4 linked regions of the Drosophila melanogaster genome follow. Changing the gene in region 4 together with the main gene of any one other region gives a genetic interaction. Each region holds a gene or a part of one and is shown on either strand. Other genes may lie near its edges. The genes, in order: ab, Imp, spas and kn.

Region 1 (7,027 bases), on a different chromosome or scaffold from region 4:
ATTATTTGTGGAACTAAATTAAAATATGTACATACGCAGAATGTGAGCAATGGACCAACACAGCTTTTATATACATGCACCACTAAAATAATATCAAAATCACACAAATGTCATAAACAGAATCCATTAAAAGCAACCTGAAAATACTGATTCTTTTTATTAAAAATAAACTTGAACCACCCACGAATTCAACTGTTGTTGTTCTTATTAGTTTCATTTTTTCCAAGCAATTTTTGTTCGACCATTGAAATGCGTACGAGATTATTTAGACAGATCGTGGCATTAAAATATATGTACATGCTTATATTTATATATATACATATATGAGCACAGACATATATTAAGCGCATACATCCGAATATTTTAATTAGAGTATAGATAAAAAATAACAACAACAAAGGAAAAAGAGACGAGCAGAGAAGAAGTGAACGAGCGGGGGGCTGTCAGGGGCGGAGGCAGCAACAAATATTAACAATAATTATACCCAAAATATAAAGACGCGGCGACACCTATTCCATATAAATTTTAGGTTTCCACAATTTTTTCACTCACTCTCGATAAAAATAACATTCCACACGTACACACACAACTAGATGGGATGCGGTGGGGCGGTGAAGAAACAGATTTGGGAAGTGAATTTTGGACAGTACCTACACACCACCACCACCCATTCTTGCCCCTGGAAGAGTGGAGGGGGGGGGGGGTGCTTGTGGGTAAAAATAAATACAAATGTCGCCGGCATCAATAAGATATAAATTAAAAGCGTACTACAATCCCAATGTTAATTAGAGAAGCACGAGAAGCGAAGAGAATGCAGCGGAGGTGGGGCCAAACATAAAACTAAGGTGGAGCGAAGTGAAGCGAAGAATGAGAAATTCAGCCCCGCTACACTGAGATAAAGTAGTGGAAATCTTTTAATTATGAAATACATTTTGATATCCTAAAAGGCAAGAATTGTTAGCTATATATAACAATTAACAAGATATATTATGAGTAGTTAACACAGAATTGCAGAAGAATTCTTAAACATTGAAAAATTTTCTAGATTCTTTCTTATAGTGCAAGATTATATACCCATTGAGTTTGGGTATGGAACTTTCCTCCGCCCAACCAATTTCATACCTCGCTCCAATGGAAGCGCTTGACGTGCTGTCGTGTATCTATTAGATACATTAGCTGCCGCATGCCACCAACTTGCGCTCCCTTTTTGGGAAGCTGTAGCTGCATCTACAGATCGTTGCATCCGAAACTCTGTGCATTTGTGGATCGTTGGGATGTTTGGTGGTGCGGCGACAATTTCGGTGTTCTGCCATTTGGAGTGTTTTTACACGTAAATTTATTTTGTTTTTGTCGACTTTAATAAAGTTGCATCTGCCGAGGGGTGGCACCTCATAGCTTTAGCGTCTGCCGAAGTGGGAGACAAACTTTATTTATTCCAGCCTCAGGCAGCTTAATGACTTCCTGCAGGGGCGGCTACTGCGAGAAATCGGAGGAGGGCAAGATTAAGGTGCGGTTCCAGTTCTCCACGGAACTGTCTTCCTTTTTTTGAATTATTATTCTACCATAAAGCTCCGCATATCTAAGGAAAGTATGGTTAGGGAAAATACATCATATTAAGTATATTCATGTATCTTTAGCCTTATTGTTAAATTACACTATTATTGGACAAATATCTGTGTACATTCATTCGTTTAGACATCCGTTTAGAAAATTTAGTAATTTGCACATTTGAACGTTTTTCCTTAGCTGCGTCATTTTAATTACAATTTCAAATAAGGTCAAATGATTTATTGAAATCCGTCTCACAACTACAGTGCATTCCAATGACTAAAGTTATGCTTGTGTCTTAGTTTGTTTTCTTATTTGGTCCACATTTTTGTAAGTAAAGTTAAAGTAAATTAAAGTATATTTTAATTCAAAAATTAGGGTTAGTTCATTTTTATATTTATTTTTGTACTTAAACTTACATTTTACATTTCCTTTTCAGACTGAGAAATAACTTAATTCGATGAAATGCTACTTTATTTATGGAAACTATAATTTATCAGAGAGCGCACATTTTATCGCACTTAACACCCAATGAATCAAAAACTCGGGCTGCTCTCTTCTACCGAAAACTTTTGGCCAAGAAAGCGCTGGCAATTCTGCAATTCAATTGGTCGGCCGTCCGTCTTTCTTTCTTCTCGGGCTCTCTGCAGTCTTCACCTTGCCACTTTGCCCGGTTGGAAAAGTAAACACAATCTGATTGTATGGCTTAGATAATAGCCCCCTTGTGCGCCAGTGTGTGTGTGTGTGTGTGTGTCTGTGAGTGTGTTGGCCAGTTGGAGGAGGATGGGGCTAAAAAAAAACGAGTGAGAAACCACCGACGCGCTGCATGCAACATGTTCGCCGTCGAACGTCAAACGACGAGCATCGAACGTCGAACTTCGAACATCGAACGTGGAGCCGACGAAGAGTGCGTCGGATTTTACTTACCGCTTACGAAAACAGGAATTCTTATTACGCGCAGTACAATTTCAGAAATCAGACGGGCAGCAAGTGTCGTGGTTCAAGTGCGGCTAATTTGGCTTATATGTGATTTTCAGTGTTTTGATGGCTTAGTAAACTATCAGAAACACAGAGACAACTGAATTTGAACTTCTCAACTAAATAAATACAAACCATAACATAACTAAAGAAAACAAAGAACTGTAATATAAAATAAAAATAAATTAAAAACGAAAAACTATTAAAATGCATATAAACCCGAATTGGAACGAATAAACTTGGTGCTGTTAACTGTTTTCGAAATAAATCCAAGAAACTTCCGTTCCTAGTGCGAAACTATAAACAACAAGAACTGCAGCGGCGACGCGTCGGCAAATTGGCATAAATAAATAAAATCAGCGACGTTTTTTTCTGCTGCCGCTGTTCTTTTTTTACAACCCGATTTTTATGAATGAATGCAGCTAACAGGCAGAAAAAAAACCGCAACAAAAGAGCGAGATAGCGCGAGTCGCGTGCACAGGAGCGAAATCGTTGAAGAAAACGGGGGAAGTGGGGGCGGTTGTAAAAAAGCGGACAGGTTGTACCGTTCGATTGCCGCCCACCGCCCGTTTGTCGCCCACTTTTTGTTGTTATTATTTTTCGGTTTGCTTTTCCGCTTTTCCTCCTAGGCGACACACGCTCATGCTTGTCACTTTGTTGCTTTTGCTTTTCGCCTGTCAGCGGCTGTCACAAATCCGCAAACAAACACACAAACACTCACACACACACACACACGCAGCAATTGTTGTCGTTGCAAAATTAATAACGGAAGTTGTGCATTTTATTAATAAAAACGAAATTCACACAGAACCAGATTCACAATCGCAATCAGAATCAGAGAAAATAAAACCAGAACACGAAACTCGCTGCGAAAAAGAGCGCACGAAACAAAAAACAAAAACAACAAAAATCGCAAGTGCAGCGCGACGGCTTCTTCGTCTTCTTCTTATTCTTGTGGCGTTTTTCTTCTACTTCGTTTCGTTTGTTTTCCGCTTCTCGGAAAACCCAGGAAAATGCTCTCTGATTTGCCAGCGATTCTCATTCATTTTGTTCTTATTGTGATTGCAGTTGTGCAGTGTTGAAAAATCAAACTAAATTCAAAATCGGCTTTAAAGAAAACAAATTCATAAAGGGAAATACCCAAAGAAAATAACCCTCAGTGTTTCAAAAGTGTTCAAATTTTACAATTGTGGCATCACAACAACAAATTCAGCAATCATCGTGAATTTTCAAAAAGAAGATTAAGAAATCAACAGTGCAAACGGTAAGTTTTAAAACTGATTCTTGGAAATGTATGTACGAATCTGCTTGGATGGCAACTTTTTAACAGGGAATTTGATCGTTGAAGTCTTTGGGGTTAGTTCCAATGTTTGTTTTCTGACAGTATATGAATTTTAAGTTATTGATTTACTTAAATTTAATGTAACTAATATTCTGGAAACGAAACCAAACGAGAATCAAATCGTTTAAGCTGTTTAACTAGATCACATTAAAATCGTAGTAAAATAGAACTTTCTCGCTTCCCTAGACTTTTATAACTTTATATGTCATGATTTTGTTTTACATAAATTGAATTAGGTTAACAAATGTTTTATGACCGCGATCTTTGTTTGCGATCTCTCTCAGTGATCGTAAACCGAAGTTAATGGCTTACAAAATCGGGCTCACAAAAGGCGTCAGCATTTGGAATTGTCTTTAAACTAGTTGGCCAAAATGTGTGAATCTAAGAAAATTATGTATTTTTTGGTGTTACACGCTTTCTTGATTGGTCTGCTGCTCTTGAAGACAGACCCGAATAGTTGGTGTCCTCTTGCGATTTGATAAATGAATCTTGCAACTTAGGGAAAACGTTTTCGGGGGAATTTTCGTGTGCAGTAATTGCCAACTTTTTTGGAGGCAGTAGTGCTGTGGCACCCATAGGTAGGTAGTGTTGTGTGTTATGGCCAATAATGGTAATAGCAGCTAATGAACCTGACTCTCGACTGAATTTTTGGATTTAGTCTCGGAGTCGGGGGTCTGCGATACCCAACACCAAACACCATCGCGTAAGTGTAGATTCCTCGCCTGGGCGAGTGTTGTTTTTATTTTTCACCGGCCCGTTGAAAACAAACACAAATACGTAGATGTGGAAACCCGGGGATGCTGGGAAACAAAAGGGTCAAGGGGGCGAACAATTAACGCGTCGCTGTAATTACAGCAAATGGTTAAAAAAAAGGGGTTTGGGAACAACTAACCAGAAAAAAGACACAAAGAGAGGGAAAAATAGAAAATATTAATAATCAATAGCCCGCTAAAAGGCATCGATGGAGTCGGTCGAGTTGGTCGCGATGGTTGAGGCAATTTTATCGGTCATTGAACGGCCAAAAGAAGCCAATACCAGAAAGAGATTTTTTTACAAGCCGAAAACGCAAATCGTCGGACTTGGAAATTATGCCAAAAACTTCGACTTTAGACGCGGCAAGAAGCGATCGGTTTTTGGTTAATTACCCGGCCAAATCTCCGTTAACCTCCGGCGAAGAAACTTCGATGGCCTTTTCTGGGGGGCTGAGCAGTTAATTACATAAAAACAAGTGATTTGCGTGTGCGCTGCTGCTTTTGCTGCTGCCCACCGGCATCGATTCTCCAGCTCCGTTTCTTAGATTTTTTTTGTGTTGGGTAATTTTCAACTCGCCAACTTTCGGCCCGGCTAATTAGCGGAGAAAATCTGCGGCACAGGCCGAAAACCCATTTTTAGGTTGAACACTTGCGAGTGTTTGGTAAATGTCCAAGAACAGGTGACCTTTGACTTTAGTTTGAGGGCCTAAAGCATGATTAGGTAAGCAGGAATCAATTTAGAATTCAAAAAAGTCATTACATATTCAAATACTCGCATAAAGAACCTCCTATTAGTTGCTTACAAATTTTTCTTATTCCATAATTACTATTTTAAAACTTAACGCATAGCTTAACAAATTTGCTCACAGAGTTTGAGAGCTTATTTCATTACTTCAGTTCTGTAATTATATTCTGTGCAATAACCTTTTGCTCTTAGCTTAGATTGTATGAAAAAGTGCAGAATATAAGTACATTTTGGCCGTCATCTTCTCTCTAAAATTCTGCTTTATTTCATTATGTCTCAAATCATTCTTCAGCCTCGGTTCTCACTTTTTTCCTGCCCAGTTTTCGAATGACCTTTGGTTGGCGCCGTCTTCTCCGCATCCTTTTGCCCCACACTCCATATAATTTATCATAAAAAATAAAAGTTTTTTGGCTTTTTACGAACCTTTTCATGGGGTTTCTGCCCCCCTGCGGTCAGATGAAAAAAAAGTGGAAGGAAGCTGGACAATCGGCGCCGTGACTGCGTTCTAGATAAATAAGCATTCTTAATTATCCCTTTGCCTCCTTCTCTGGGGTGGCAAAAATGTTATAAACAATGGAAACCGCGCACTTAATGCGTTTTCTGTTTTCCAGAAGAAGGAAAAAAAAAACGAACGCGGCTGCGGCAAGTATTTTTCTTCATATTATTCATTATTTTGTGGCCAAAAAAGAAAATGTTTTTATTGCCTGCGAAAAAGGGTATAAAATGCTCAGTCGCCATTAGCCAAGGACCCGCAACCAAAACGACAACAATTCCAATCAAATGTAAAGGAGCAGGGCATAAAAAAAGGAGATTTCCAAGTGGCCCAAATGCCGAGATACTCAATGATGGGTGGAGATTTGGGTGTGAGAGGTCCAAAAAGAAATGCCGTCGGTAGATGAGATTTGGATTTCTGGCCCATGACAGGCCAGTGACTTTTCACTTTTTCGCATGTGAGCAAATGTGTAATTGAAGTTCCGCTCGAGAATAAAGAAGTGAAGCGGGCCAAGAAACAAAGGAATGTGGAGAAAGGACTCTAAGGACCTGGCCAAGCCATTCGATTCCAACGTTCGCCTTTCTCACTCGCCGACGGCGGCGCCTTGGCCCAAAGTATCGCGATTGCCGCATGAGTTGGCACAAAATCACAAAAATCAGTAAATCGCTCACAAAGTGCACGAAAAGTGCAGCGAAAATGAAAATGATGTGGCACTTTCTCAATGCTACCTGCCATGTAAATCATCAAACAAAAAGATCCTTCGAAAATATTATTGCAGGAGCATGGGACTTAAGCGGAATATACATATGTACATAGCTGCATCGCATCGATTTGGAGAAATATTCTCATCAAAATATTTGCACTTCTTCTTCGAGAACTCCTAACGACACCAATTGAGAACGTAAGCCAACGTAAACATTCGAAGTTTGAAGCTGCTGTCACAGTGGACAGTCGCTAAAGTGTACGAACTGGCTGTCCTTTTAATTAACTATGAAAAAAAGGTAAAAGATACAGTTACAGTTATTAAGTTCGATACTCTAGGATTTTGGTTAGTTTTAAATAATTTGAATCGCAACTAGATATGAAATATTCTATTTTTTTTTTTTTTTTTTTTTTTTTTTTAATTTTTATTATTTATTGAATCTTCCCTTTGTGTTAAGAGACTAACA
Region 2 (7,227 bases), on a different chromosome or scaffold from region 4:
GCAACAAAAGTGCAACGGCGTCAAGGGTATCGACACAACTCACAGCACAGCACAACACAACCACCATCACCGCCGCCAGCAGCAGCAGCAGCAGCAGCAGCAGCAACATCGGCCATAAACAAGCTAGCTCTCTCGAGGGGTGGCGACTCCTGCGGTTGCAACATCATCCTGCCAAAGGTTATAACCCCCGTGGTGGGCGGGCTTGACCTCCACCTCTATCCCCCTCCTCCCCCTTGCATAACCCTTTTTTTGCAACCGGCGGCAAATGGCGAACGCCTGTTGCAGTTGCACTTTTTGCTGCTCCATTTTACGCTGAACGAATGGAAAATGGCGCGCGCGCAGCAAAGTGCAGCACAGCAACCCCTCGAAAGTATGCAACGCCAGAAGGCCTAACCACCCACTTTCTCACAACCCAACGCTGTCCGCCCCCCCCCCCCTTCCCACACATGCATGCTAAATGAGTGCAAGAGACAGAGAGAGAGAGAGAGAGAGAAAGAGAAGGAGTGCTAGTATGAGGGAGGGGGGAGGAAGAACCTTAGTCCTGCGAATAAAATCGTCGAAAGCTATGTGAATGCGTCCGTTTGAGTCCGTCCACTTAGCCTCTGGGTGGGTGTTTGGGGTTTTCGGGTGGTGCTCGGTGGTTCAGTGGCTCAGTGGTTGATTACAATTCTACCGACTGCAATGGCGAACGCAGTCAAATGTGATTGAGATGCACACGAACCGGAAGGATGCATGCAAAAAAGGGTTCGTGCAGGATTCTTGGGAAAGTGATTTCATTTCCTTGTGGCTTCCGTTTCATTGAATAGCACTAGTAGTGGCTCTTAGATAAGAACTTATATGAAAAGTTAACTTAGGTTAATGATGACCATCATTCTTAATCATAGTGGATAGCTTTGAAATTGAAAATGATTGGTGAAAATGAAAAGAAAACTTTAATCAATGGCAAACCATATGACTATGTACTATATCACAATAGATTTATATTTATACGGCGATATCCTGACTCTGCCGCACACAGTCGACTGCCACCGACGAACAGGACATAAAACAATCGAATGAGGAATGCCGTGCGAAGGGGGATGGGGTTCGAGGAGCTCGTTTGGCTACAGGACACCTTTTAAGGACTAGATAAGGAGTGCCCAAGGGAGGAGCAGACGGATGAGCGGCAGCCAGGCAGCGAGGAGCAGGCAACAGCTGCGAAAGCTGCCCGTCTGCCTACCTAAGCTTTCTTAGAGAGCTGCCTCAAGGACAAACCGCGTCAAAGGAGCGCGCTAACGAGGTACAGTTGCCTCAAATAGAACGAGATAGACGATCGACGGATACTGAGTGCGAGTGCAGATTGATGGCTATCTGAGAATACTCCAACTTTCCAACTTACGCTGCTAGTGGTGGACTAACATCCCCAAAAGTAAGATGCATGTAGCCCTTACATAAGACTGAAGTGAGCACCCTTTTTTTTTATTTAATACTGGGGGTGGTTGGTATCTTAAGATAAAAGGCAGCTTTGTAAGGAATGAAATCTATTCAAACCGAAGCATTAGAACTTACAAAAGCAATAAGGGTTAACTCGCGATTAAAACGAGAGTTTTACTATCAAAAGAATGTAGAATTTAAGCGATGTAATAGGCAAAATTAAGTGTATGGGGACTTAGGAAACATGTTTGGTATATCCTTAAGAATATCCTTAAGCTACGAACCATTGCGCCTTTTACAACTTGGCATCTAAACGATATGAACCACCCTCTCCCAATTGCGAAACGCTAAGGAATTTGACCAAACTGGCACCTATTTCTTTGTCAGTCTGCTTCTAATTCTGGCCCCACCGACATATTGCTATCTCTATCGCTGCAATTCCCAATTTCTTTGGATATACATATATCACTCTCTCTTTTTCAGCGGCTGTTGAACTTTAAAATTGATCCGATTTTATTCGCATCTTCCATGAATTTCGCCTCACTTGAGAATGTATTAAATTTAGAAGCAGACGAGCCAGATTAGAATGAGGAAGAGAAGAAGAAGAAGACGAGCAGGGGGCCAACAAAAAGCGTTGGGGGGGCGGGGGGGCGGTGGTTGTTGGTCTGAAAGGCGGGACAGACGCTTCATTCATGCCACGCGCATCTTGCGCTGTCGACATTTAAAATAGACGCCAAACACGCAACCTCGGCGTTCAACTACAGAGAAGCCTCCGCAATCATTGCCGCTTACATTCTGAACAATTTATAATCGCACTTGTGGAGCATTCCCTGTACTTTGTACAATGTTGCAATGGAGTTGGCATAAAGAAAACTTGGGAATTTATCATCGGATATATGAATGAAAGACACAGACACAGGAACTGTGGCGGAGTGCTAGCTAAGTTATTGGTTTTTAATTGATCTTGGTTGCTTAGAAGAATCTCGACTATTGTAGAGAAGAGATCTTAAATAGGAATAGTATAGGAATAATATCCTCATTCTATCCTCTTATCAATATCAATATAATCAATATATTGAGTTCGTTACGGAACTATAGCAAGGTAACATTTTTCGAGGACCCGTTTCAATATCCTGACAGAAAAGGATACTTACACTTTCAATGGGACGCAAGTGCACTGCTTATTCTCGAGATTTGGATAGGATGTCTGTTGAAATTGCTTGAGATAAAGGTGCCTGATTCTTGCTCCAGAGATCTCAGTCCTTTGCAGGCTCTTGATTCAATTAAGTTGCCAATTGTGTGGGTTCAACATCAAGATTTCAGGCTTTAGAATTGGAAAGTGAGGTCGGTGAATTTTTCTCGAGAGGATCGATATTCTCTGGGCTACAATATTCCAATTGATCGGAATTCTCCAGATTATAAATATCTCTACCTAGTACGTAGTTTAAACAAAATTGTCTGGTCTTTCGCCTTTCCTTTGGCCTTTCTTAGATTCCTTTTTTTTTGGCTTTAATATGGGTGTGTTGCCTGTTGTTTTCCGGTGTCTTGTCTTGTTATGGACTGTGTGAGTGTATATTTTTGATTTTGGGTAAATTTTTGATTTTTTTTTTATATTGAGCGAGAAAAAATTTGAAACTGAATAGTGGGAAAAGTGAAATTTGTATGGGGCTTTTAGACATTTGCGATTGACAGCAAAGCCAATGGTGTGTGTGATTTGGGATATTCAATAATGGGTTATATTTGCAATACTACAATACTTTCTACATAACCTATTACCGTCCATAGCCTAAAGCATTAAAAGAAAATTATAGTTAATCCCTAAGAAATCTAGTTTTTATGCAATCTATAGCTAGTTTTCAAATGCCATAAGAATTACTTGGAATCAAAATCTAGCATCCTTAATGAGTTCGCAATTGATTTTTCCATTGATTGATTTAGACAGGAAGTAACATTTTCTTTTTGGGCTTGTTTTCGCTGTCGTTGTGGATTTTATTTTATTGGGTTTCGTTATTGATTTTTGTGTAGGTGACAACTCTGTGTGTGGGTTGCCGTGGGTGGGCGTTGGATTGTGTGGGTGCGAGCGAGACGGCAGCAGATGCGTGAGTGAGTGCGTACAAAGCAAGGCTGGAAAAACACTCCCTCCTATTCCCACTCCCTTACTCTCTCTCTCCCTCACCTTCTCTCTCTATGGCTTGGTTGGTATCTCCTTTCTCTTTCTTACACTTACACTTTGGTGTATTTGGTAAACCTCAAGAATTCTCGTCGAATTTTTGTTTGTTATTTTATGATGATTTTTCACTTTTCTTTGCGCTTTTCCTTTGGCTTTTCACTGGTTTTTATCTTTTTTTTTCTTTTTTTTTGTGCTTTGTCACTTTTTGCTCATACAAGAAAAAACAACAAAAATCACAAATGGCGGCGCCGTTTGAATCCGTATCCGTATCTGAATCTGAATCTGAATCTGAATCCAAAACACTAATATCTCGATAGCTGTTCGGCGTGAGCTATTGACTATTAACTATTTAACTGCGAACTGTGAGCTGAGAGTCGAGAGTCGAACGAACTGACGCAACGGCGACGAGTGAACTGCCTGCCTGCCGGATATACGGATCCCAATTTCCAAGGTGTCTGCTCAGCGCCCGATGAAAATGCGAGGAAAACTCTGTTCAGCTCTGCTCTGCTCTCAGGACCTCTGCCGCGGCGCTGTAGCAGCGGCGTTGGCGTTGGCGTCGCATTTTCCCACCCATCCAAAACAGTGAAAGTTGTAAACCAAAATGGCTGACCCTGCTCCTTGGCATATTTGTATCTGTATCTGTGTCTGTACTCGTATCTGTATCTGTGTGCAAGCGTCTATACACATTATCCGCTTTAAAGGGCAGCAGCCGGCTTACACCACACTCACTCTAAAAAGTCGGCGACCACTATAAATGATCTAAGGTTAAGAAATCGAATAAGCTAACTATTAATTTATGCCAGTATACATTGCCAAATGTATTATTAAGTTACTATAGGTAATCAAAATATATTTAACATACATTTTAGGCCTTGCTTAGATACGTTACATATTTATATAGCTAACTTCTAATTTCATTTCTATTCCGATTTAATGATCGATGATTTCTGTTGATCTGTTCTATTTCATCTGGTGATCACTGTGCCAGCTGTTGGACCTGTACTTTGCACTGCTGGTCGCCCTATGCAAAAGGTTTTCCCGACCCAAAAAGGAAAAACATCGAAAAACGCAACGGATAAACGAATATTTTCCATCTGATTGGCTTGGACCGGCTAGCTGTTGGCAGCGCTGTCGACGCTGACGCTGACGTTGACGTCGACGCAGCTGCGACGGGGGTGAGTGTGAAATGTGAAAAGCGAAAACTCATAGTACCAAGCGGAAAACTCGGGGAAAAACTCTGAAAACAAGGGTGGCCCGAGCAGAGACGCCAGCGTTTTTCCCGCTCTCTCTTCGCTCATCGCTCTTCTCTCCACTTTTCTCTCTTCTCCGCTCCTCTTCGCTCTCCTTTGCGCCCTTTTATCGCCCCGTCTGTTTTGTCTACTGGCTCGTGAAAATGTCAGGAAAATTCAAACTGCCACAGCTGCTTGACAAAAGGCAAGACTATAATTTTAAGACATGAGGAAAACAAGAGAACGGAAAATGTCTTTCGGGGAAATTGTGAATTCGATTCCACTCACGATTGCCACTTGTGAGCCAAGTTATTGGCATTTGTAAATTGCGATTATGCATAGATATCAATAAAGCTATTATTTTGGCTTATAATAGAATTATATAAATTATTTTCTTTTCCCAATCCCATTGTTTAGATTGCATATATTAATTGTGGCACTTTTCGACTCCAGAAAGTATGCAATGCATTTTACGACTTGCGTTGCGGCTTCTTTGTTACTATGGCCTTTATAATCATAAGTTTGTTTTCGAACGACGAGTTAGAGAGTGTAGTATTCAATTGTTATGATAGTGTTATGAAAGATACATTTCTATAAACAGTACTTGATACCTCAACGGGATTTTCCAACTAGATTGGACGCAATGAGGTTAACACGAGGGAAGTGAGCTGCGAATAGCGATTCCGGGGACTTGGAAAAGTCTGCAGCTCACAATCGTGTTTCGATCTAAGACTGTGCCTTCTCCATCTCTGTTTCCCTCACTCCTGCCATCTCCCTCTCTCGCTGACCTTGCTGCCAACGAAATTTCTACTTCCTGCTCTCCTACATTTTCCCGTTCCTCTTTTTTGTCGATGCTTCCTTCCTTCGTTCAGCTAAATCTGATGCGCACCCCAGAGCAGCAACAAACATAAAATATATATAAGTATGTACATATATATCCGACTGTTACCAACCCAACTCAGCCCACACACACACACACACACACACACAGAGAGTCTACACCCATACCATATCGCACGCACACACTAAGCGATTGCGTCCCGTTTTCGAATTTCGAGCGAAACTTGCGTAGTTTTTCAACCCCAAAATACGGGACAAGGACAAGGTCGAGGATGTGGCCCTACGCCCCTGGACATGGGTGCACAATGGCAGTGGTTCCAGGCCCATGCCCATGCACTTTCCATCCAAGATCTCAATGCTGAGCTGCAACTTTAAGCTTAAACTAGAAGATTACGGAGTGCAGAAGTAAGGCGAACGAACTGTTAAGTTCTTTAACTTCAAGCCATATTTGTTAAGATACAACAATCATTTAGATAGATCTTTCAAGGATATACATCTTTCTACCTCTGACTATCTATATTAGCATATACTTAGGGATCTATTTTGTAGTACCATTGTATAGATATAGCTCTGATGGCAGACTTGAAGAATTCTTTCAATGCATTGATGGAATACTTTAGTTGTCCCGTACATTTCTAGGAGGCTGTTGAACCCCTGAAAATCTCATAATTTGCTTGCCACCACCACCATCGCTGTTGCTGAATGTGCGCTGTGTGGTTGCGATGCGTTGCTGCGTTCCTGCGTCTGTCAGGAATGTTTACAGCCGGCTGGCTGTGAGTTCTGAACTCTCAGTCTGGGCTCTAGCCCTAGCCTAGTCCAAAAAAAAGGGACGAGGATACGAGCTGGGAGGGTTTAACGCTAATGGTAAAGGGAAAGGCGCAGGGAAAGGGAATGGAAATGGGAAAGGAAGAGCCACCACCCACCCCCAGCGGCAACTGCGACGCATTTTTGTGTGTGCGTCCTGTGCGTTGCCATGCTGCGATTTTCCATTTCGATTTGGGATGGTTGGGATCGCATTGGCTTGGATTCTATGGTATTTAGTGCACAGTAAATGAAAATGGTCGAGTGTCGCGACTATTAGATACCTTCTAAGCAGGAAATGAAGCGATTTTGAGATGGGGCTAAACAAGCAGATCATCATTCTCTTTTTTAATACTTTTCGAATGTTTCTAAGAAACCCAATTTTCATTTGTAATATAATCACAAACATCATTTAAAATTACATTCAATTATTTTCGCGAGTGCGTTGGCACGGGAATGGTTTGGCATGGAAGGGGTTGGGGGAGAGAACGTTCCAGTCCGCTGTCTTCCAGCTTTTGGGTGGTGGTGTCCCGTTACGCGCTTGCCACTCTTGCCATCTCTGTTGCACCCACGCCACACGTCGAGGATCGAATTTGGCTGCGTTCCGTTGACTTCGCCCCTTGCTTTATTTACTTTTTTATTATTATTATTTCATTAGATTGCAACCCTTGTGTGTCTCTCTATTCTGGCATCACCCCCCCCCCCCCCCTTCCACCCCTCTCCACACATTGTCCCGTCGTGGGACAAGGACGAACGCCAGTGGAAGGTGGCTGG
Region 3 (9,146 bases), on a different chromosome or scaffold from region 4:
TGACATCCGACAGCCATGGACGAGTCGCAACCGAAGACCCTATACGTGGGCAACCTGGATAGCTCAGTGTCCGAGGACCTGCTAATTGCCCTCTTCAGCACCATGGGGCCCGTCAAAAGCTGCAAAATCATTCGGGAACCGGGCAACGATCCATATGCCTTCATCGAATATTCCAACTACCAGGCAGCCACAACAGCTCTGACCGCCATGAATAAACGCCTATTCCTCGAAAAGGAAATCAAGGTAAGCTGATTAGCTTCTCTTAAGTTATCAAGTGGACAGCGGTCATTTTCATTCATTTTGTTCGAAACTACACTCTTGCAACACACACATTCCCCACGACCAAGCCCTCATGTTATTTTAATTATGTAGAACTTAATTGATTATTACCTATTAAACGAATGCTCTTCGCAGGTCAACTGGGCCACCAGTCCCGGCAATCAGCCGAAGACAGACATCAGTTCGCACCACCACATATTCGTGGGCGACCTCAGTCCCGAGATTGAGACAGAAACACTGCGCGAGGCTTTCGCCCCATTCGGAGAGATCTCCAACTGTCGCATTGTGCGCGACCCTCACACCATGAAGTCAAAGGGTTACGCCTTCGTGTCGTTTGTGAAAAAGGCGGAGGCAGAGAACGCCATCCAGGCGATGAACGGCCAGTGGATTGGCTCGCGCTCGATACGCACCAACTGGTCCACGCGCAAGCTGCCACCACCACGCGAGCCTTCCAAGGGCGGAGGCCAGGGAGGCGGAATGGGTGGCGGACCGGGCAATGGGTCCGGTGTAAAGGGAAGTCAACGCCACACCTTCGAGGAAGTGTATAACCAGTCGAGCCCCACCAACACCACCGTATACTGTGGCGGATTCCCGCCGAATGTCATCAGTGACGACCTGATGCACAAGCACTTCGTCCAGTTTGGTCCCATCCAGGACGTGCGGGTCTTCAAGGACAAGGGCTTCTCGTTCATCAAGTTTGTTACCAAGGAGGCAGCCGCCCACGCCATCGAGCACACGCACAACAGCGAGGTACATGGAAACCTGGTAAAGTGCTTCTGGGGCAAAGAGAACGGAGGCGATAACTCGGCCAATAACCTCAATGCCGCCGCTGCCGCGGCAGCAGCCTCTGCCAATGTTGCCGCCGTTGCGGCAGCCAATGCTGCGGTTGCCGCTGGAGCGGGTATGCCCGGTCAGATGATGACGCAGCAACAGATCGCCGCCGCAACAGGAGCGGCGATACCCGGCCAAATGATGACACCCCAGCAGATTGCGGCGCAGTATCCATACGCGTACCAGCAGATGGGCTACTGGTATCCACCTGCGGTAAGTGTTGTATTCTTTAAATACGCAGTGACCTAAAGATTGACCCTAACTTTGTGCTTTTCTGCAGACTTATCCCACAACCCAGATGCAGACGCAATACATGCAGCAGGGCTACTATCCCTACGCCTACCCTACCAGTGCTCAGCAAGCGGGAGGAGTCCGTAAGTTTACTTTTCTCAGTTGCTGAATAATCGTGACCTTGGCTTAAACAGCTTGCATACAATTTTCAGCGGCTGGATACCGCATGGTGCCGCCGAATGTAGCATGGGGCGTGCCCGGAACTGTGGTGCCCGGTGTGACGGCTGCCGCAGCATCCGCGGCCGCTGCAGCGAACGGATCACTTGCCCCCCAAATGATGTACAGTGCTGCGATGCCACAATACCAGACCCAATGAGCTGAGATGTGACGCCAGCTTCGACGCCGTTTGCAGCATCCGGGAAGTCGCCCCCAGCCGCAGCCACAACCACCTCTGCTGCATCAGCTTCCGCACCTGCAGCAGTTGCAAGCGCATTACGCACGTTTAGGTTACGTACAATACCGAGTAGTAGCAAAGTCGGAGCCGCTCCTGGCCATGCCGTTGACCAGCGGCAGCAGCCACATTGACGGTGGCAATGTATCTGGAGATTATTAAGGATGCGCGAGTGTCCACTTTGAAGTTGTGGCTACGGTTGCGGCTGACTGCGGTGGAAGGAAGCGGAATCGGGTGTGGTATATAGCCCCCCAAAGTCGAACGTTAAGGCGGTGCGTGGAGCTCAACTTCAAGTGATCCACGCCGGCGACAACTGAAAGAACATCAATTGAAAAGCTCCGGGCGATGGGCGGGTAGCTGTAACAATCTAATCCAATCTAAGTACGTGTTAAATTAATTTAATGATTTCTAATTTAAGCAGATATAGGCGTATAAACGAAACGGAAATAAAATAAACCGAATGAGAAATTCAACAAAAACAAACAAATAAAAACTGAAAAGAGAAAATGCTAATTACGCGCGACAGAGTTAAAACAAAAAGAAAACAATCGAAACAAAAACGTGACAAAGCAAATTGTAATTGTAACTATGTGGAACATGTGTCAACGAAAACTGAAGACGGAAAGAGGGTAGTTTCAGTGGGATGAAAGGATAGCCGCAAGCAAGCAAGCCGAATGCAAAAACAAGAGGAAAAACAAATTTAGTCACTAAGAGAATGTAAATTCGAGCATACATATTGTATATTTCCAATGTGGAAAACGAAATGCGATATAAATATGTAAAATGTAAAATAAAGAAGCAAAAAAATATATAAAACAAGTGAGAAAACGAAGGGACGCTGGTTTTTATATTGAGGTAATGAATTAGGATGTGGAATTATTATTTCAAACTTTAATTTATATCATTGATGATAGAAGTGGTTACTACTACTACAAATCTGGTGGAGGATTCAGCGGAGTCTAAAATATAGTTAAAAAGTAATTAACTTTTACAATTGTGCTAAAAAGTTTTCTTAAGGTATAACATACATACATGAATGAATTTTATAGCTTTAATATTCTCTAGTGAGACGCAGTTTTTCTGCGAAACTAGTTTTCATGAATGCTTAATTCTTCTGCTTACTTTCTCTTAATTTAAATGCACCTGGTGATGTCAGCCGTTGCTCAATTCTCAATACACTACCAATGGTTTCCAATAGCTTAGAATTTTGTTGATGATTAAGAATGCAATTGATGTTTCTTGAAATCGATTTTATTTAGCGTATTCTATAGATTTCTTTATATATATAGTTTTATATGCATGTAGTTTTTTTTTGTATCTGTGTTTAGTAACTAGTCAAAGAACTCAAATTCCGGGTGGGCGAGCTGCGTTGAAGCTGGTTCAATGTGTCGCGATAAGCGACGGGCATGTGCGCGGGTGAAGATGTATCTGATCGATCTGATAACACCAGATCCATACGCACCTGCTAGGTACAACATTTTTGGGTGTGTTACTAATAATATAGGTGAATCGGAGACGATTGTATTTATGGCTGTAGGTACATAGATTGAAACAAAGGAACTAAACTAGACTAACCATACGGACAGTGATAACTATTAAAACTTAAATACGATTCTGCGCTGGTAAATGTATCTTTGTGGGTGTGTATAAGTATATCATCGGTCTTAGGTCTACGCTTACTTCTAGATTACATGTAGCTTGTGGATGGGCACTCAATGTACAACAAAAATATGCTTTATAGTTCAAGGATACAATGGAAGTAGTTGTGAACTCCTTGGGCCGCCTGTCTTACAAAAAATCACTACGGAATGTTTCAAAAAACTAATTTATAAAGCAATGTGGCCTTGAATTACTATCATAAACGAAGATAGGGCAAACCTACTATTCTAAGAACTCCAATGAAAAGTACAGATCTTAGAAATATATACCATGAGTATGAGTATAACGATAATGGAGCTGCATGGCAAATGTTGCACCACATGGACATGGTGGTTAAACAACGAAAAAATACAATACAATGTTCTTAGGCTAAAACACCAGAAATAGCTGGGAAACAAATCATATTAAATAACTCACAGGTAAATACAAATGTAACAATGTTTGTGAAACGAAAAGTCTACGGATTGAATAGAACCTTAAGGGCGAAAAACATGGGTCACATAATCAAAACTAGTGTAACGACAATGGGTTGCGCTCTGAGACTCACATCACAGCTTCTCCAAATTGGATTGATGAAGGAGGGCAGGATCATTGGCTAGAACAGACTAGATGGTGATGTCGCCATAATCTTGCGACCACTTCTCATATGAGTTGAGGCTTTGCGGCGCCACCGAGCGCCTGATGCGCTTGAGCGAACTGTGAAAGTCCTGCTCTGTGATTGCACGCATTGCACTGATGTCCAGACACTTCACTTGCTCCACATTCAACTCTCGAATGGGCTCCAATGCGGCGTCCTTGGCCAGTGCCGTTAAGTCGGAGCCCGAGTATCCGTCTGTTATCTTTGCAAGGCGACGCAACGCCTCGGTATCCAACGGACTGCCTTGCTTCTGGAGCAGTCGATTGAGGAGCAGCTCGCGGGTTTGCTCGTCGGGCAGTGAGACGTAAACGCGCTTTGTGAACCGACGCAGGGCTGCCTCGTCCAATTCCTGCGGTCGATTGGTGGCGGCCAGCACCACGATCCTGTCTCCGTCTGGATTTCCAGGCAGCCCATCGAACTCCACTAGAAACTCGGTCTTTAGGCGACGCGATGCTTCATGCTCGCTGCTGCTTCGCTCTGAAAGCAACGAGTCCACCTCGTCGATGAAAATAATGGAGGGCTGCATGTGACGGGCCACGGCGAAGAGAGCCCTCACCAGTTTCTCGCCATCCCCCACGTACTTGCTGGTCAGCGAGGCAGCCGAAATGTTCAGGAAGGTGGCACTACACTCAGTAGCCACGGCGCGGGCCAGCAGTGTCTTGCCATTTCCGGGAGGACCAAACAGCAATAAACCCTTAGCCGGTGCACGAAGCCCTAAAAAGGAAGAAGATTGGTTATGGTGACGGTTCTAGTCGCAGAATAACCAACTCACCCGTAAAGAGTTCCGGTCGGACGGAGGGTAGAATGACCATTTCCTGTAGAGCCTGCTTGGCCACATCCTGACCGGCAATGTCAGTCCACTCCACTTTGGCCCCACCCTCGACGATCTCGTCGAGTATAAGTTGCACCAGCTTCTGTTCCACTCCCTTCACACTAACCACCGGAGTGCTGGCGCCACTGCCACTGGGTCCGTTGTTGTTTATGGGAGTCCGCGAACGCTGGGGCGGCGTATTACGCCCCGAAGACTGTAATATGAGTAATTTAGTTTAATTAGTATTTTAATTTCTGAGTATTTGCCAAATGTGTAAAAACAAATTTAGTTTACTTATCAGATACTCACAAATTGTCGCCGAACGGCGGGAGGCGTTGCAGCTGTCTTGGCTGGTTGCCTTTGGACTGCGCCTACAGATGTTTTGGAGCCAAGGTTGCGGGGCAGCGTTTGTGATTTGTTGGCCACGGCCAAGTTGACGGGTCGTTTGGATCCAATTGTCAGTTTGCGGCCAGATGCTGTGAACGAATTAGCACAATCAGAGATGGATAATGCGGAAGAATATACTCTTTTACAAGTTTACAATTTGGCCAATCGAAATAAAAAATTCTAAGAAAATCAAGTGCCAAGTGAGGTGATAGGGATTGACTAATCGATCTGCTTATGGTGGCTTTGCGCTGGCGTGTGAGGATCTTGTTGGGTGCGCGTTAGCTGGTGAGGAACTTACCAGTGGGTTGGGCACTGGTGGTGGCCTTGGGCCCATAGCCACTGCTGCGCACCCTTAGTTTCATTGGTTCGTTGGTCATTCCTGCCAGCATGGGCTCCCTGGTCTTCTGCGGCTTGCTTTGAGCCTCTTCTTTCTGCTTCTCCTTTAAGGAGAGGCGCTGCATTTGCAAATCCTGCTCACGCAGAGCTGCGCACCGGATGAACATGTGCATATGGACAAAACGGAGGGGACAACAAAAAAGCAGGGGAAAACGTGCAAAATGAAATAAAAAAAAAATGAGGTAAACAAATCCTATGTTTTAGGGGTATAGGAAATATGACTGGTCACTTACCTAGAAAATGGAGACGATCCCGCGCCATCGAAAGGTTTGTCTGCATCTTGTCGTGCAGGCGCTGAGCCCGATCCCACACATCACCACGTCCACTCCAGCAATCGACAGCTATGCCATCCTCTAGCTCCTTGATACCTTTTCGGTAGAGCTCAATTGCCAGCTCTTTGTGACCTGAATATATAGAATAATATTATTTTATGTTTATTTTATAACTATTATGTTCAATCAAGCTCGCTTTCCTCTTATAAATAATTTGACAAAGAGTACGCTTATATGCATTAGAATTTAAAAATCGCATGCTTGGAGAACTTCCACTCCATAAAAGTCCATCAAGGCAGACAACCCTACTCCTGTTGACATTTGGGGCATCCATTGTGCGCGCGTTTTGCCTTATTGATTCTCACACTCGACAGACAACAAAAGCGGACAGCGGGCGATGACTCATTGAGCATTCGAGCACTCGAACTCGAACTGGAGCTGCCACCCCCGTCGCCGAAACTCACCTTCGTTCTCCTCATCAATTTTGAGCGCCTTGGAGATGTACTCGAAGGCGCGTCGATGGTGATGCTTCTGCTTGGCCAGCAATGGATCGCCGGGACCAGGTGAATACCCTCCTCCCGGACGATTGGCGGCCATCTCCAACGGTTGAATGGGCCTGAAACGCTGTGGCTGATTGGATAACTGCTGTTCCTGTCCGTCACCTTCACGGTTCAGCTCCGAAGGATGGTTCAACGACTGCTGTTGCTCCTTGGAGGAATTCTGCACCACGATTTCAATATTACAGTCGCGTCGGTGCGGGCGGTATATCACCTTTGTGCTCGCACCGTATAGGTAGCGAAAAATACAAAACAGCTGATAAATCAGCGAGCGCAGAACGTTGAAAAGAAAGATTATGGGGAACGAGACGACGTAGAGGTTCTGTTTGTGCACAGAGGACGAGTAGCCGCCGTACGAATGGTGGTGGCCGCTGCGTGGGGAGCACGTTGTGGGGGTCAGGTCATCTGTGGTGGTGGTGTCGTCGTCGCCGTCGGGTGAGCTGCCCGGACTACGGCGATTCGATGAGGAGCCTCCACCGGCGGCAGATGAACCGCCGGCAACAACGGCAGCAACGTTTGAGGCGCTCGACGAGCGGTGAGTGGACTGGCGACCACCGAGTCCTCCGCCGGATGATCCTGCCCCGCTGCTGGACTTTATTGGTGACTTGGTGCTGCTGCTGCTGGCGCTGGAGGAGGACGACTGGTTTTTAGTGCGTACCATCGATATCGATTCCGCGCTGTCTGCGCGTCCAGCACTCCGGCCCCCTGCTCTCCTTGCCCTAACCCCGTGAAAGTTGCACGGGGAAATTATCCTTGTAAGCCAAATCGGTTGGCCGTGGCACGCGTTTGTATCGATGCCGCACAAAAAAACAAACAAATCTCGAATATTATTGTTGTACGTCGTTTGAGCTAGTGCTCATTTTGCTGATATCCGAGAGTACTGATTTTCTTCCGCACTTACAACTCTCACTACGTTGAAAATTGAAGCTAAGCTCTGGAGTCCCAGCCAGTGCTGACCAACTATCGATTACCAAATCTAGCGGGCAAGGTTGTGAAGTCAGACAAACAGGCAATTTCAAAGTTTAAATGGTGGAATGTAACGGATGAAATATAATTTGGGAGACTTTCACCGAAGTGCAGTATGGAGACATTCGTAATTGAAGGTAAGTTTGATTTATTGCCTTGTTTATCATTTCCTTTTTGTTTATACGAATATTTTTAACAGAAAACATTTTGTGTCCTTTACAACATCCTTAACGGTTGGCTGATTTAGCGGAAAAACGCTAACTTGTCATATCGTAGAGATCCAGCTGTCAATAAAGTTACCAGACAGTTTCGGATCCGATGTTTTTGGATGGAAATATTTAAATTACGTGATCAATTTTAAGCAACTGATCGAAATAATAGTTTTGATTTGTTAAATTCGTAGAATTCAAACACAATTGCCGGAAAATTGGGGAAAAATATCGCATTATTTGGCGGTCGCCTAGTGTGGCAGCCCTGGTAGCTGGGTTGCGATATATCGACCTTGATACACCTACTGCCATCCCCATCACTCTGGGTTGTTTTTTTTTGCGTTTTTGCATAACAAAATCCTAGAATTTCGGCCTAAACGCCAGCGATCTCTGACCAGCAGAGCACGAGCACAGGAGCGGCATATCTCACTTGGAGAGCAGTCGGAATGGGACAGTACACGGCGTCGCAGCGCAAGAATGTTAGGATCCTGCTCGTCGGCGACGCCGGGGTGGGTAAGACGTCGTTGATTCTGTCTCTGGTCAGTGAGGAGTACCCGGAGGAGGTTCCGCCTAGGGCTGAGGAGATTACCATTCCGGCGAACGTGACGCCCGAGCAGGTGCCCACCAGCATAGTTGACTTCTCGGCCGTGGAGCAGTCGGAGGATGCCCTGGCCGCCGAAATTAACAAGGCGCACGTGGTGTGCATAGTGTACGCCGTGGACGATGACGACACTTTGGATCGGATCACATCCCATTGGCTGCCGCTCGTCCGGGCCAAGTGCAATCCCTCCCTGGACGGCGAGGGTGATGCCGAAGCGGAGGCGGAAGGAGACACACAACGAGAGCCCATTCGGAAGCCAATCGTTCTGGTGGGTAACAAAATAGACCTCATCGAGTATTCCACCATGGACAGCGTGCTGGCCATCATGGAAGACTACCCCGAGATTGAGAGTTGCGTGGAGTGCTCTGCCAAGTCGCTGCACAACATCTCCGAGATGTTTTACTACGCCCAGAAGGCTGTGCTGCACCCGACTTCTCCCCTGTATATGATGGAAGAACAGGAGGTAAGTGCTTCCGGAGTGGATCATAGGTCGCAACTATATCATTGCGCCGTAATTGGCGGTTTTGCGATAGGTAATCAGCTTGTACTCTTCTAATAAAACTTCGCATTTTCAGCTCACATCCGCCTGCAAGAAGTCGCTGGTGCGCATTTTCAAGATCTGCGACATTGACGGGGACAATCTGTTGAACGATTACGAGCTGAATTTATTCCAGCGACGCTGTTTCAACACACCACTCCAGCCGCAAATCCTTGATGAGGTGAAGGCCGTGATACAGAAAAATGTGCCCGATGGCATATACAACGATGCGGTCACCCTGAAGGGCTTCCTCTTCTTACACTGCCTTTTCATTCAGCGGGGAAGGAACGAGACAACCTGGGCGGTGTTACGGCGCTTTGG
Region 4 (7,402 bases):
CAAACCCTGCCCATTTTCCATTTCCCACTCCTCGGCCACCTGGAGAAGCGTGTCAGCATTGGGGATCCTCTGGAGAACCACAAAAACGCGAACCCACTCCTCGCTCTCAAGTAGTAGAGAAATTGTGGAATGAGCTGCGACACATTTACTAGATTAATTAGCTCATTTACGGTTGACAATGTCCGTGTTAATTCCCCAAGAATTAAATGATAACATCATACGAAGTGGACGAAAAAGGTGTTCTACGTGTCAATGAAATGGCTTGGCAAATGCTCGATGACACTAATACGTTTGTTTGTAGGGGGTTTTCTCTTCGTTTTTTTTTTTTGTAGGGGTAGTAGTATCTGAAGTGCAGACGATTTGCATAATTCGAAGGACCAGCAAAGGACGCACCCTTCGCTATCCAAACGCCCAGCTAGTTTGAACCACTCACACCTTCCCTGATCATCTTTTCTGCACCCCATCTTTATATGTTCCAACTCCCCCTTTTCCGAATACACAGACGGAAAATATTCATTAGTTATAATAAATTAAGACCAGAACAAAGGAAAATATATTTTAAAATACTAGAATAATGCTTAGAAACTAAAGAACTGCAAGATCTCGCTTGTAAAGGGTTTCCTAGTTTCACTCAAAAAATGTTGCAAAGATCGAAAATCGATCGTGTAAATCATAGGTTATATTAAATTTCTCTCAGTGCACTTAGGCACAAATATAATTTGACTTCATTATGCGAACAGTTGTTGCCTTTAGTTTTGGTAATTTATTTCAATTTTTTCAGTCCTCCGTTGCTCGAGACTGCCGTGGGCAGTAAGGGGTTAATGCTCCTGCAGTGCAACCCCTGTAATAAATAAATATCTAGGTCCTGCAAATGTTCATTTAACTGAAGTATGTGTGTGTCTGTGTGTGTGTGTGGGGAAAATGTCTCAAATGTTTTGCTGCCGCTGCCATTGTTGCAATTGTAATTTGTTTTTATTGTCGCTTGTTGTTTGAAGAATGAGTATTCCGGGTGTGGCCATAAAGATGATTCTCTTTAGTCACATCAAAAATGTTGCTAGGCTAGAAAAGAACTAGCCTATCACAACATGGATGCCAGCATTCCTAATTAATTTTTGTGAAATTTTCAAATCTCATCGGACCCCCAAAAAGAATGTGGAAGGAAGAAGCTGGCAGCAGGACTAAGGAAATCCCGAGGGGGCGACCTTTTTGGCCTTTTTGGTCTCAGTGTCGGCCACAAACAAGCTGGCTAACAAACAAAAACAAACAAGAAAACTGGTAGCAGAATAACGGTACCGGTCTTGGGCGTGTTTCGATACTGGACATCTGCACTTTTGGTCAGACATTTTGGAAAACAAGGATATTGACATATTATCTTCGTCTCATTCTCAAAGGTTTCTCCGTAAACTTAACAGCCAATCCCATTCGCAATCCACTCGAAACTTCAGTTTTGTGGTCCTGCTCTAAAGGACATAACCATGCATATAAATTTGATTATTATTAAGTCGGGCACATTAGTGAGCATTTCTAATGAATGGAATCGAGTCGAGCAGATCCTTGTGCCCGAAAAAAGGGTCAGCCCACAGACACACACCCAACCACCGTCACATACGAGCTTGTTAAAGCCAATTTATAAATACTCAGGTTTATGGTTTTAAGTACTTAAATATTTAGCACACTTCTTGGCCTCAGACTGTAGCTCTCCCTCTCTCTCTCTCTCTAAGGTTATATACACCTCTCTTTCTCCACGTGTGTGAGGCTTTTATTTATAATTTATGCGTCCGCAGGGCGACACTCATTCGGTTGCGAGTGGGTGTGGGCATGAGTGCACTCATTAAGCAAAGGATGTCCTTAAAGGTAAATGAGCAAATTTAATTTAAGCTTTATTTTTACCATATTTTGGTGAATGGATACAAATGCTCCTTAAGATCTATTAATAATATATATCTTCTGATATATGCACCATTTTTGTAATACAATAGTAAGTATCACTCATGATTAATAACCGAAACATCTTTTCCCCAATTAGGTAACACAAAATGAGCAAATTCAATCGCGCTAAGTGCTATATAGACCAATTTCCTCTTTTCAACCGCCCCCAATTCAAATTTTTGAAGAACATTATGCGCTGCCATCGAAGTGACCTGATTAATGAAGCCATTTCGATTCCGTTGTTCAGCTTAGCGATTTCAATTATCGGACATGTTAGGCGGGGTTGCACTTACCAGGGGGGGTGGCTGGTTGCATGGGCGGTGCAGACGACCGCCGATTAGCACGTGCCACTCGTTCCGAGCAAAATCGCAGGAAGCTAACCAAAACGCAAGGACACGTGGCAGGAGCGCAGCTTCCAAAGATAAACATAATTATGCAATACGAGGGGGAATAGCAACGGAAAGTTGGCCAATCTGATAACACGCAACGAGATTTGTCATCATCAAACAAAGTGGGCGTGAAAATTGCGGATGAAAAGCAGCCAGGGGTTCTGATCGGCAGGAAGGAAGCGACGATGTAAGGATGCAAAAAGGACACGACGCAATGCTTCCTGCCCGGATGCAATCATGTCCGAGGCGTGTGCGCGAAATATCCTTTGTTTGCGTTTCCCAGGACTCGGAAAAGCGGTACGACAGTAAAGCAGTCGGAAATAATTGCACAGCAGTCAGGATAATAAAGATACTCGCGGTCCAAGTACATTATCGAAATTGATACGCCAGCTATACTATCTGGCGCATATGCTAGTCGAAGTAGCTATATATCCTGAGGGGGCGGAGTAGGCTGGCTATTCCAATTCGCGATTCAGGTCGCGTTTGTTCGCCACCAACCTCAATGCATTTCACTTTGTCGTTGACTATCCACATACACTGCGATAAAATAGCACATCTATTCTGTGGATAAGTTTTCTTTAGAGTAACAAGTTACCTATAAAAGAGTCCTTTAAACACATTCTTACTTAATCCCTTAACCTAAGCAAACTAGGAAATTAGCTAATTATTTTCCAGTGTAACTTCAATTTGTCTGACCATCACGTAGTTCATCAGGCAGCCTTCTTTCAGCCTTTTGTCCTTGTTTCGCATTAAAGTTTCATTTGGCCGAGGCCACTTGGCATGCGGCAGCGTCACTTTTGACCTGGCTGAAAGGATACTAATCATAGCACTGCCTCCATGAGCAACGTTCTCGGCACATCCTCATCAGGCTGATTGCGAAAAATCACTGGAGAAATCAAGCGAGGTTCGTGATTCCATACTGACATATTTGGTGAAGTGGATTTGGAGTGGTTTTCCCAACCCACACATTCAAGTGACAATCACAGTCAAATTTTTTCGACTCTTTTGTGTATTTTTAGGCGAAAAAACAGAAAAACCATGAAAATCAATTTCGCTTGAGGGAGGTTGAAGCTAAAAAGCATATTGTCATTTGGTCAACCCACACCAACATATCTGAAACATTAAACAGATTTGGCCTTCCGATTTGGTTATATTATTTCCTTCAGCTGTTTCAATAATTCATATTTTTCGCTGATCCCCAGAGAGATGCAGGAAAATTATTAACGAAGGCCAAAGAAAATCAAATTGAACTTTATTTGCTCTTTAAATAGTTGGTTTTATATGTTTTAAGTTGAGTGTCGATAGCAGGGAAGTGGTAAAAATTTAAACAAAATAGTTGGCCGTAAATCAGACGGAAAGTGAGGCCAGTTTTGGCACTTTGGCCAGGATCTAATACCCATGTCCTGTTTGGCGATGAAAAAGGGGGCGGTGCTTCGTGTCCCAAGTCGGCTGTCAAACATAATCACCTTGCACCCCCCCCCCCCCCTCTCCATCCCAGAAGTTCTATTCTCAAAGGAAATTTATGTTTTTTATATGGACGGCGGAGCAGAGACAAAAGTCTGTGTGTGAATGAAATATATTATTTTGCTTTTTACCCGCCCTGCTCTTTCATTTTTTAACACATTTTGTAATTTCAACACGTTGCCACGTACCGCAAAAGTTTCTTCCACTCCAAAATGTCCACCAATTGCAATGCCGCCTGTCCACCACTCGGACTCGGACTTGGATCTGGACTCGGATGATTAATGGTTCCGGGTATTCCGGGACAGGCTCCGAGTTGGCTGGGCCAAATAATAAATCGTTCAAATCGGCTGGGGATTATTTTTCCTAGTAGGCGGCGGTCAGCATTTTGCTCTGTCACCATTTTTGCGAGAAAAAGAATGGAATTTTTCCTTGACTTTTTCGTATTCAATATTTGTACATATTTTTGCCAACGAACGTGTGCGAAATTCAAAAATACTTCTGCACAACAAATGGCAACAAATTTGTGGATTTCAATTAGATTAATATAAATCTAAGGAATTGAATTTTTTCATGTGTTCAAAAGAAAAAAAACGGAATTAAGGTGGTAGATTGGCTTAAGTAGTGCGTGAAAAATTGGTAATATTTTACTGAAAAAAGTACATATGTCTATTTAATTGTACTTGTTAGAAATACCCTACTTCTATCAGCAAAACGTGCAAAATGTGTATATGCAATATAATTTGTGTTGCACAACTTGTCTTCAATTATTTCTTGATTGATCAAAGCCTTAGATTTATTTTAGGCAATTAAAAACAATAATCCCCAAATAACCGGTTAATTGAAAGGATTTCCTGGAATATACATATATGATAATGTAAAATTAAATAACAAAATTTGTTTTCATTTCGTCGAGCAAGATCAATCGAAAATCCCATCAAAACCAGTTTTGTTTCAAACAGATGGAGCGGTAAAACCGAGCGAGGCATAATATTATTAAAATTCACAAAATATTATAATTAGTGGACGCATGCCAGCCATTAAACAAATGAGTATATATAGTTTAGCTTTATGATCGGCAATGTATGTATAATGCATAATATTTCTCTGAAACTCCGTTTGTTAGGTGTTGGCCACGTTGTAATCAGGTTATTGCCCCAAGCCCAAGAGAAGAAGTTCGAGAAGTTCTTTATTGCCAAAAACACGAATCGGGTCAAAAGCAGAGCTCAAGGCGCAGACTGGGTACAAAAAAAGTACAATAAGAAAAAGCGAGGGCACTTGGCCAATTTACACGAGCTGGCCAAAACAGTTTGGCGTTCGAATATATAATGCGAAATACAAATAAAGTGAAAACAAACAGAACAGAAATTCCCCGTTGGCGCTTCGCTGCTTCGTCATGTGTTTATTTCCCATAATCATTAACTTTTTGGGTGGATTTATATGTGAGATAAACTCTGCTGCAGAGAGGGGAAATTAACTGAGAGATGTGATAGTATTTAACCTTATGAATCATTGAGCCTAACTTTACGTTTATGAGCCACAGCCAGAGGTTTTAAGAAACTTTAAATGCCTGCCTCTTGTTTTTTTTTCTGTATTTGTTTATTGTTCAGTCTACCTACCGGTGGAGTTATTTGCCCAACTCTTCTGCCTGTTTGACGGCTTCTGCTTGTTCTTCCAGCTTTAGATGATAATGATGTAGATGGTTCGCACTGCGTCAGCATTCGAAATTTCCATATATAAGCGCTAGGGAGCCGCACCGCGAGCTTAGTCGTTTTGGAACTTTTCACGCGTTCGCTGCCTCAGTCTTTCGTTTCGTCTTTGTGAGTGCTTAACCGCAGATAGGCCCCTCTGCATACCCCTAACCGCTGAATTAACCCTACTAAGTGACGAAGTGTGTGTTCTTACAGATCCATACCGCTTCACAATGAAGTACGCTGTGATTGCCATCGCTTTGTTTGCGATTACTACCGCTTCGGCCTCTTCCGGTGAGCAAAAAAGCAAATTTGAGTATAATTTGAGGAGAGCTTAAGCCGGATTGTGCACTTACATCATCGCTAGTCGGAGCTGCTATCGTGTTTATTATTAATTGAATTAACAAGTCGGTCGACGGGTGCTAGTATGTTAATAATACCCAAAAACCTATCGAACCCATCCGGAAACCCAAACTGGTTTGTGAAATTCGCGTAGCTCATTAACTTTGCGACAATGTTTGTCCAGCAAAACTTTCCGCACAACAAATTCGCTTTTTATTACGATTCCTAAAATATGGCTATTCAAAATCAGCATTACGTTTGATTATTCACGCGATCGCTGAGTGGACAAACTTTCACACTCAAAAAAGAAATTGCCATTGTTGAATGTTTGAGATTTATAAGCATACTTTTGGGATTAGCATTATCATAAAAAACTTGGAATAAATCTGCATGGTATATATGCTAAGTATATGTAATTATTCAAAGGTTTTCATAATATTAAAAATAAATTCAATAGTAAAAGTTCATAAAATATTTAATCGTGGTAAATAAGGGCGAGATGTGAACGAAATCTAAGCTTTAAAGCTATATTCATAGATTTCAGATACTTATCGCTGAATTCATTGCTCTTTATTCATACAGCTGGCCAGTTTCTGCCCCGTGCCTTCTTCACCTTGGACTCGGAGGGCCACCAGTCGAATGTCCATCCCGTGAATGCCCATCTCCTGAGGCGTCTGCGTCGTCAGTCCAGTTCGTCTTCCTCGTCATCATCCTCCTCGTCCTCCAGTGGAGGAAACGTCTTCACCTACGCCTCACACAGCGTTCAGAATGCCGATGGCTCCGGTCATTCTGGCTCCTCTTACACCCAGCAGGCCGCTGCTCCAGTGCTTGGGTGAGTTAACTGGAAAATGAGGACTTCTATTGATGATCACTAATGATCGTTTTAATTTCCAGTGGTGTGTCCTTTGATGAGCGTTTCGGCGAGAGCTCCTTAACTGGAGGCGACAACTATTATCCCACCTACAATGGCTACACCAGCGCAGCCTCCATCAGCAGCAACAGCGGAGTAGGAAGCACCGGTAGCTATCAGCACATCTCCGGAGTTGGACCCATTCCCGCCACCCAAATCCAGCAGACCGTGGCCGTTGTCGATGCCAGTGGCAACCAGAAGGTGACCAACATCCAGGGTGCCACCGATTCCAACGGCGTTCTCAATATCAAGAAGACCGAATCCACTTACTCATCCAAATAGAACATAGGTTTTTTTTCGAGTGTAAACTTTAATAAATTACAGTAAATTAACTGACACGGTGCCTTCTTAACAGGATATTTGTTATGAACTCAGAAATAAGAGCTCGCAAAGAACTTTGCTTTTTTCGCTTGCCATTTGGTTTGTGGGATTAATTGCTTCCAATTGGGCGCACTGCCACGCCCCTTGCAGATGTCGCAGTGTATTCATTGCGGTTTCCGCATCTGAAGTGTTCTTTTTTTGTTTTGCCCACTCTAGATGATTGCATCCCACATACCATATCTTAAAAGTTCCATCCTGTAACCTGCATCTGCATCCTATATCCTTCATCCTCTTTCACTTCGCAGCAAAAAGTGATGGATGTTTCGAATGAACCAGGGGCGTACCAGGGTTTCGGTTCA

Evidence for each region.
Region 1: of kn (region 4) and ab, changing one suppresses a phenotype caused by changing the other (phenotypic suppression), as found in Drosophila melanogaster (one study listed by BioGRID).
Region 2: of kn (region 4) and Imp, changing one suppresses a phenotype caused by changing the other (phenotypic suppression), as found in Drosophila melanogaster (one study listed by BioGRID).
Region 3: of kn (region 4) and spas, changing one suppresses a phenotype caused by changing the other (phenotypic suppression), as found in Drosophila melanogaster (one study listed by BioGRID).

What each region holds. Positions count from the first base shown.
Region 1 is NT_033779.5:11,208,174-11,215,200, forward strand, and holds the start of ab (abrupt), read left to right. Parts: upstream 1-2,504; 5' UTR 2,505-2,574; exon of another isoform or gene 2,575-2,600; intron 2,601-3,594; 5' UTR 3,595-3,790; intron 3,791-7,027. UniProt on the Drosophila melanogaster protein: Expression is vital for development; may be involved in transcriptional regulation. In embryos, muscle specific expression is required for segmental nerve b (SNb) motoneuron target recognition within ventral longitudinal muscles.
Region 2 is NC_004354.4:10,818,752-10,825,978, forward strand, and holds the start of Imp (IGF-II mRNA-binding protein), read right to left. Parts: upstream 5,527-7,227; 5' UTR 5,424-5,526; intron 4,036-5,423; exon of another isoform or gene 3,641-4,035; intron 3,067-3,640; exon of another isoform or gene 2,568-3,066; intron 1-2,567.
Region 3 is NT_033777.3:24,036,535-24,045,680, reverse strand, and holds spas (spastin), read right to left. Parts: upstream 7,467-9,146; 5' UTR 7,173-7,466; coding exon 6,419-7,172; intron 6,087-6,418; coding exon 5,916-6,086; intron 5,771-5,915; coding exon 5,585-5,770; intron 5,376-5,584; coding exon 5,209-5,375; intron 5,114-5,208; coding exon 4,861-5,113; intron 4,803-4,860; coding exon 4,057-4,802; 3' UTR 3,027-4,056; downstream 1-3,026. Other genes in the region: Rox8, read left to right, coding at 16-243, 415-1,323, 1,391-1,484, 1,536-1,717; Miro (mitochondrial Rho), read left to right, coding at 8,133-8,750, 8,863-9,146. UniProt on the Drosophila melanogaster protein: ATP-dependent microtubule severing protein. Stimulates microtubule minus-end depolymerization and poleward microtubule flux in the mitotic spindle. Regulates microtubule stability in the neuromuscular junction synapse.
Region 4 is NT_033778.4:14,802,880-14,810,281, forward strand, and holds the start of kn (knot), read right to left. Parts: upstream 4,183-7,402; coding exon 3,971-4,182; intron 1-3,970. Other genes in the region: hui (hase und igel), read left to right, coding at 5,704-5,764, 6,395-6,644, 6,707-7,004. UniProt on the Drosophila melanogaster protein: May act as a 'second-level regulator' of head patterning. Required for establishment of the PS(-1)/PS0 parasegmental border and formation of the intercalary segment.